2 linked regions of the Coturnix japonica genome follow. Each later gene encodes a partner of the first gene's protein in a complex. Links are inferred from orthologs where the notes say so. Each region holds a gene or a part of one and is shown on either strand. Other genes may lie near its edges.

Region 1 (3,183 bases):
GTATTAGAATATCTAGAAGGCTTCTTTTGAGTGACTTGCAGGAAATAGCTACAATGCCAGTGAGCAAGTAGTTGACCAATAAATCAAATGCTCTTGAAAATACAGGAGCCACCATGTCTAACTGTAGAACCAATATAATCAACTCGACTGCGCTCTAATTTCTTCTGACAATTTCACTGTAATTTTGAGTCCAAAAAAGAAATGTATCTAGCATAAAGACAGCAGCACCTTCTCCTGCAGTAAAGTACATCTGCTTTGTATTTCTTCAGGTTCTGAAGAAATCATTTAAAGCTATGTCCACATGGTTGATGTGCTTGCCAGGAATGTTCTTCAAAAATAAGCAACTAACTGAGAAGATTTTGCAAGGTAACAAAGCTACTGAAGTTAGGACAAACAGCAGCTGGTGGCACATCTGAAATGTGCTCTCACCTGCTTTTCCCACCTAAAACACTTAGGATTTGTTTGCTTGCTTGCATTTGTGGTGAGTTTAGTTGTATTTGCTTATATAGTGCTTCTAAGAACTATGAGAGAAGCTCACTCACAGCATCAACAAAAGGGGTCACATCACAGAAAACAGTGCAGAGGTTGTACAGTGGCTTGGTTGGGTTTGTTACCTTTCGTGTCAATTCACGCCTCTTCCTTGGCTTTCACAGATGTATTTCTGGTGCTGCAGAAGCGTTTGTGCAGTCCTTGTTGGGAAGTACGAGATTCTTCTCTGGAGTTCCTCACCAACTTGATTGAAAACCTGAGAGGTACGTGCAGAGATTTAATGGCTCAGATTAGAGTACTGTTTCTTGTAGCGTTAGGAAAGTCAGTCAGGCCTTTGGAGCATCCTCTGACCTGTAACTGCAGGGGGAAAGAAGGAAGGAAGGAAAAGATACGTTGAGATTTTTACTTTCAGATCACAGTCAAAGTCTGTCAAAAAGATTAATAAACTTACATTAGCATTCTGTTGAAATTGAATTGCTGTGTCCTCCTTAAAGACAGCTTTAGCAAATTAAACTATGTTACCTGGCTTGACAGTAGTAAGGGATGAGCATTTCTTTTTATTCTCCTTCCTTAAACAAAAGTTGCTTTATAGGGCTGAAGCCACATTCCAATTTACCTGGAGCAAATTTTTTCTCACCAATAGAAGCAACCATAGATGCATTTTTCCAAGCTGTGTCAAATATGGTATGACTAGAAGTCACAACACTGCTAAAAGATGGGGAGCCTGACAGAAACTGTCTGCGCTGCTGCGAGCAGCAGCTCTGTTCACTGACAGCTGCCCTGCAGTCAGTGAGCCTCCTTTTATGACACAGATCACTGTTTGCATTGGAAACAAATTCATGCTCTGAGAGAATAAAGCCTCACTTCTTTGCCTTGCTGTCTCCTTTACAGACTACGATGAGTTCAAGCAGTCTCTCCTGTCTTCAGAGGTGCCAAAGCTTACAGAAAATCTTCTTGAGGATCCAGAGAGCTACGTGCGAGCGAGCGCTGTGACTGCTATGGGACACCTGGCCTTCATTACTTACTTCTTAGTCCCAGAGTCGCCTGTTGCAGGGAATCAGTATGATAAAGAGGTATGACTTCGTGTAATCCGCTGCAAGCACGAGCAGAACTACACGTTGTTTTACTGCTTTTAGTTTGTTTTTAATGCTCCTCTTCTCTTTGTCTTTTTACATTTAGAAAACTGTGGCAAAGCTTCAAGAAATCTTGTCCACAGACCCAGAGGGCTTTCCTAGGAGAGCCGTGATGAGCGTCTTCACCATGTGGCTTAATGAGAGCTGCACAGGTCAACTGGAAGAGACAGTGCAGTTTGTCTCTACAGTGGTCCAGACCGCAGCACATGACTTAGACTGGGAAGTCAAACTTGGTTGTTTGGAACTGGTTCAGATTTTCTGTGACCACATGTTTTGTCGTTTTGGCCTTCCTGAATGCTATTATGCTCCTGTCTCATCTGCAGCCAGTCGTTCTAACGAGCCACTGCAGATATTTTGCCGAGCGAACCTGTTCAGCTTCTTGTTTCAGTCATTGTGTGACTGTGACAAGCCAGTGGGTCAGAAAGCCTGTGATATATTGCTTGACTTAAAAACTCATTTCTGTCGAAACAAAACCAAAAATTCACAAGGGACTGAAGATTTACCTGAAGTCTATGGCATTTTTTGGTTACAAAGGACACTAAAACAAGGTTGTCTGGTCCAGAACTTCCCCACAGATGATGATAACAGAGTGGACTTTAAGGATCCAGAGAGCATGTTGTTAGCTTTGAGAACAATAGACTTAGTGGAACTGCGCAATGACCTAAACAAATGTAGTGACTATGTGGAGAAAAGCCCCCAGTCCCTCTTAGAGGACATCCTTGCTACTATGGGGACCATAGAGGAGAATGAAGCTGACTGCTACTAAAGCCATCTTTTGCTTTGAGGGAATGGTACTTACACAGGTTTCTTGTGAAGAGAGTTTTTGCTACCAAAGTCTTTTGTGAGAGGAGATAGTAGGAAGTGTTACTCTGTACAGAGAAAAGGGAATGGTTTTGTTAGCTGTTATAGAAAAAAATCTTTGTTTCAATACTGATGGTTTCTCTTATTTTTAAGTCTGTTCTCTGATGGATGGATCTGCCTGCTTTATTTTTTTAAGTAAATAAATGCATTTCTTCTGCTTTTGCCTCATATGCTCAGAATCAGCAGTGCTGTAGCCGTGCAGCCCCTGCAGGAGGCAGATTTCCCCATCCAGATGCTACAGACTATTTAAGCAAAAGCAGCGGCCAGGCACAGGGCTCCTGTCGCATCAGCTCTGTCAGTTACTTGAATGTGGCCTGTGGGTAGCAGGCAGCAGCTACACAAGTGATAACAACGCAGAGCATCGCAGATGAGAAAAACCCACATCTCTGAGAGCAAGTACTGCGAACAAAGAAGATTACAGAGCTCTTTTCAGCTCCTTATCTGAACAAGGGGCAGTGTGAGTTCTGCTGCCTGATCTGTACACAGGTATGAAATTCCAAGAACCATTTGTAACAACAAAACACTGAGTAAAGGATTTATCCTCTTACTGCTCAGACTCACATTGATGTGGCAGAGAAGTGTTTGGCTCAGCCTGTCACGCATCCCCTTCCCAAACAAAGCCCCAGTGTGAGTTGCTCCCCGGCTCATCTCTCACCCCATGCAGTGGTCACACTGTGTGCAAGGGGGAAGCATGAAGTGC
Region 2 (4,256 bases), on another chromosome or scaffold:
TATAAGCATCGTATGGAAATGTTTCTGGTCATACCACAGTTCAAGCATAGTGATACAGCATTATCACTATGTTGACTGATGGATTCCTCAGAGTGTGTTGTGCCCAGAAGTCTTTGGAGACTACAGAAGACTTTGAGCATAGAGAAACAAGATACTGATTTGATCCTTACCTGTTTCTGGATTCCTTCTTTCTTCAGGGAAAGAATGAACTTGAAAGCTCCAATTTATTTTTCCACTGGGCTGACGGAGAAGGCTAATCATTATTACAAGCTCTTCATCACATGGACTAATCAGAAGATCCGGAAAACGTTTGTGCAGAGAAACATGTTTGAGTTCAAACACATCAAAGCATTTGATCGAGCCTTTGCAGATAATCCAGGACCAATGGTAGGTTGGCATCAATGGCTGAGGCCCCATTACAGCCTTGTTGAATTAAGTGTGCTGTAATGTGTATTTAGTGGATTCTCTTCACAGTTTTAGGAAATTTATATGTAATGATATTTTAAATAAGCAACACATGCTTTTTCTGCTGTTATTTTTGACACATCTTTGAATTCTAGGTAGTGTTTGCAACCCCTGGTATGCTTCATGCAGGGCAATCCTTGCAGATCTTCAGGAAATGGGCAGGGAACGAAAAGAATATGGTAAGGAATTCTGTTTCCTAAGTGATATTTTGCATTAATGCAATAGTGTTACAGATACCATTGTCAGAACAAAGGCTTTCCTGAGCATGTGGGGCTAAATGATCCTGGTTTCTTTCTCAGGTCATCATGCCAGGCTATTGTGTGCAGGGAACAGTGGGCCATAAGATTCTGAGTGGACAACGCAAGCTGGAAATGGAAGGAAGACAAATAGTAAGTGTTATTTTTAATGAGGATTGTGGGGGGAAGCTTTTTGGGACTTTAGGTGGCAGTTAGACACCACATGTCATATAGATAGATAGATAGATATGTCCCAGGGCACTTGGATTGGGAAATCAGGTTGGAGAGATCAAGTATTCCCAATCCAAGTGTTCTACGTCCTTTTTAAGGTAAACATGAAGAGGTCTCAGTCAGTTTGCATATGGTATACAAGGCAAAGTTGCTCCTGATTCACAGCACCTGTGCTTCCCACCACCCTCCTCTTACAGCTGGAAGTAAAGATGCAAGTGGAGTACATGTCCTTCAGTGCCCATGCTGATGCCAAGGGAATCATGCAGCTGATTCGCCAGGCTGAGCCACGCAATGTCCTGCTGGTCCACGGGGAAGCAAAGAAAATGGAGTTTCTGAAGCAGAAAATAGAGCAGGAATTTCGTACGTACACTTTTGATAATGAAAACAGTAGAAAGAAGAAGGAAAGCTTTATGTAATTAATTTACTGGTAATCAGCGTAGAGTTAGGAATAGTGTCATTTACAGAACCTGTCATCCTCAGGAAATCAGTGTCTGTAGTGTATAATGACACTAAGTCAGTATACACTAAGCCCATTTAATTTTAATGTCCATTAGGCTTCTAGTGATGTTACATCATGATTGTGGTGTTACGTTGTGATGTTTCACTTGTATTGTTATGGTTCAGCATTTACTGCATTTGCATTTCTTCAGACTTAGAAGCAGCAGAGGCAGGTGTGTATCAGAAATGTTAATTTAGCAACATTAATTATGAGGAATTGGGTCCAGATGGGGTGGGAATAAGTGATTTCTGACTTAAAAGATGAGCAGAGAAAGCAAGGAATGCATGCTGGGGGGCTGTTTAGTTTCAGTACTTTGTTATGGGCATCAGAATGCTGCACTGATCCTTATGTTGTTTCTTTATGCTGCAGATGTCAACTGTTACATGCCTGCAAATGGAGAGACCACAACTATATTTACCAATCCCAGCATCCCAGTGGACATCTCCTTGGGACTCTTGAAGAGAGAAACAGCAATAGGTGACACATCTCTCAACCAAGAATTACATTATTTGGGGTCCTGCCCCTCAACTGCAATTTTAGCACGTGAATTAGGTGGAAACAGCATTGCTGGGCTATTTGTAGCAGCCCCTCCTGTGTAAGAACAGGTTGTACAGTGTTTCAGTGGGTGAGAAGGGCTTCGGTGAAGTGAGGTAACTACTGTGCTGGGGATGGGTGTTCAGTAGTGCTTAACAACAACAAAAAAAACGGGCACAAAATGACCTTGCTTGCTCCACATTGCCCATTTGCTATGAAAATTCAGTCCAATTATGCTTTTGCTGAGACTTGGAAATCCATTGAGTTCTAGAGCAGTTGTCTTCCATGTGTAACAAGCAAGCATGGTATCATTAACTCTGTTGTCTTTCTCTTCCCTTGGCTTAGGTCTCTTACCAGATGCCAAGAAGCCAAAGCTTATGCATGGCACGCTGATTATGAAGGATAATGTAAGTAATGCGTAGGGGCTACAGAGAGGGAATAAAACCCCAGTGTGCACAAGGAAATAGTTTGTAATGGGTTTGCACTCTTCCTCTGCAGAGCTTCCGCCTGGTTTCTCCTGAGCAGGCCCTGAAGGAGCTGGGCCTTGCAGAACACCAGCTGCGCTTCACCTGCCGTGTTCACATTCAGGACCCACGGAAAGAACATGAGACCGTGCTCCGTGTGTACAACCATCTCAAAGGGTAAACCCCTTCTTGGTTGCATTTGGCTGTTTTTTCCCCTTGGGCTGAATGACTGCAGATGCACTCAAGGTTTTGGCCAAACTAATGCAGTCCCCTCTAAAATAAATTGCATACATTCTGTCTCACCAGGGTCCTGAAGGATTACTCAGTGCAGCATCTCCCTGATGGTTCTATAACAGTCGAGTCCATTCTTATCCAAGCCACAGCACACTCAGAGGATCAAGGAACCAAAGTTCTGCTCGTATCCTGGACTTACCAGGTAGGAATACATGAAAACATACATTTCAAGCAATTCTAATTGGTCTCAACATCTTACAGTCCAAAACAGGCCTGCAAGGGAACAACAGAGGGTGGGCATATTTTATGAAGTAGGCATGAAACTTCAGCCTGTAACCAGTAAGTTCATCAAGGCAGAGCTGTGCTACGATCAGATAGTCGTTCTCCTCAAGAATATACTTCTTACAGCTGCATTTTGAATGCTCTTTTTTATAGCGAGGATCTGCCTTCTTGAAAGCAGAGCACACAAAAAATAATTCAACAGATCTTCATTCTTTGCTGTCCAGAAAAATCATTTATTCTGAAAGAGAGAAGTTGGACATCCAGACACCTTATTTGACAAGCACAAGTTTTAGGCTGGTATCTTGAAAGAACAACTAGGAATACATTTGTGCTAACTGTGTTCATTTCTGTTTTTGAACACTGCTGCTGTTGCATCCAAGAGTTATTTTAGCCCATTCTTAGGTAGCAGAAATGGGAAAGAGTCAAGCAGACAATCAATTTCATCCTGATTTTCTTTTCTATAGGATGAAGAATTAGGCAGCTATCTCACATCCCTGCTGAAAAAGGGACTGCCCCAGAGTACATCTTGAGCCACAGAGCAGCAGGCACAGTTGGTGCTTCAGAGAAATACAGATCTTATTTTGTTTACGTTATTAAAACAAAACTAGAAAAACATTTGCCAGAGGAACTTCAGTGTCTGTTCATTAGCCACAGTGAGAGTGTTCAGCAGTACTGCAGTCTTCTATTGGAAACAGGTCTAGGTTGTCACTGCAGCCTGTTTTTAAGAAGTCCTGAAGAACAAACTTCACATCACTTACACAGTAAGGTAAGAGACTGAGCATTCTTTTACTCCCACAGCTTGTTTTCTTTAAAACCTCAGCAAAGCCATTCTAGCTTTGTGTTCACAAAAGTAACTAGAAGCAACAGCCGTGCAATGAGCCCTTTCCTGCACTGACGTGAAGGCCTGGGCTCAGTGCATGGGGCAGAACAGCTCCCTGGGCTTTAGCCATTAAGGGCATCATTATTATCAGGGAGTCTTCTCATTGAGGCACCAAAACAAGGAGCTTTCAAAGCTTCAAAATTAAAAAGCAAAGCAGAAATCTAATGTAGGCAGAAGTATGAAGCTTTAAACATACTGTTTACCCAACAGCTTCACTTTCATTGAGGGAAGTATGAGTAACAGCTGAGAAGCCTTGAAGAAACCTGAACCTTCTTGATATAGTTTCTAGTCAAATATATATATAAATCCTCCTCTGTCCACACCATAACATTTGTGGTTAGTTGCCAAGAAGTCGCTGCAATGCTGGAAGTCCTTCTATGTTAAGGGAGGTAGATAGAAAGGAACAGAGCAGTGGGGCTGTTCAGCTGTTA

The links.
Region 2: the proteins of BRAT1 (region 1) and INTS11 are in contact, whole or in part, in a cryo-EM structure (PDB 8UIB), measured with the Homo sapiens proteins. The link is inferred for Coturnix japonica from reciprocal best matches to the Homo sapiens genes BRAT1 and INTS11. Residues at the interface, in NP_689956.2 of Homo sapiens: Asp25, Thr27, Cys28, Glu30, Lys31, Asp34, Pro117, Ser156, Ser157, Leu158, Phe159, Ser162, Lys358, Ser359, Cys366, Arg367, Arg424, Arg427, Thr465, Lys468, Lys469, Trp514, Glu515, Asp518, Ser519, Glu522, Tyr560, Ser564, Ser604, Glu605; in NP_060341.2 of Homo sapiens: Leu9, Val15, Gly16, Lys27, Met35, His36, Met37, Gly38, Phe39, Arg43, Asp47, Tyr50, Thr58, Asp59, Asp62, His70, Leu71, Asp72, His73, Asp87, Gly88, Gln97, Pro101, Ile102, Glu105, Arg108, Lys109, Val112, Asp113, Lys114.

The regions. Positions count from the first base shown.
Region 1 is NC_029529.1:3,418,441-3,421,623, forward strand, and holds the end of BRAT1 (BRCA1-associated ATM activator 1), read left to right. Parts: intron 1-269; coding exon 270-366; intron 367-653; coding exon 654-752; intron 753-1,380; coding exon 1,381-1,562; intron 1,563-1,668; coding exon 1,669-2,388; 3' UTR 2,389-2,651; downstream 2,652-3,183. UniProt on the Homo sapiens protein: Component of a multiprotein complex required for the assembly of the RNA endonuclease module of the integrator complex.
Region 2 is NC_029536.1:1,977,299-1,981,554, forward strand, and holds the end of INTS11 (integrator complex subunit 11), read left to right. Parts: intron 1-197; coding exon 198-387; intron 388-560; coding exon 561-644; intron 645-764; coding exon 765-854; intron 855-1,129; coding exon 1,130-1,292; intron 1,293-1,800; coding exon 1,801-1,908; intron 1,909-2,310; coding exon 2,311-2,372; intron 2,373-2,463; coding exon 2,464-2,606; intron 2,607-2,735; coding exon 2,736-2,865; intron 2,866-3,157; exon of another isoform or gene 3,158-3,409; coding exon 3,410-3,475; 3' UTR 3,476-3,564; downstream 3,565-4,256.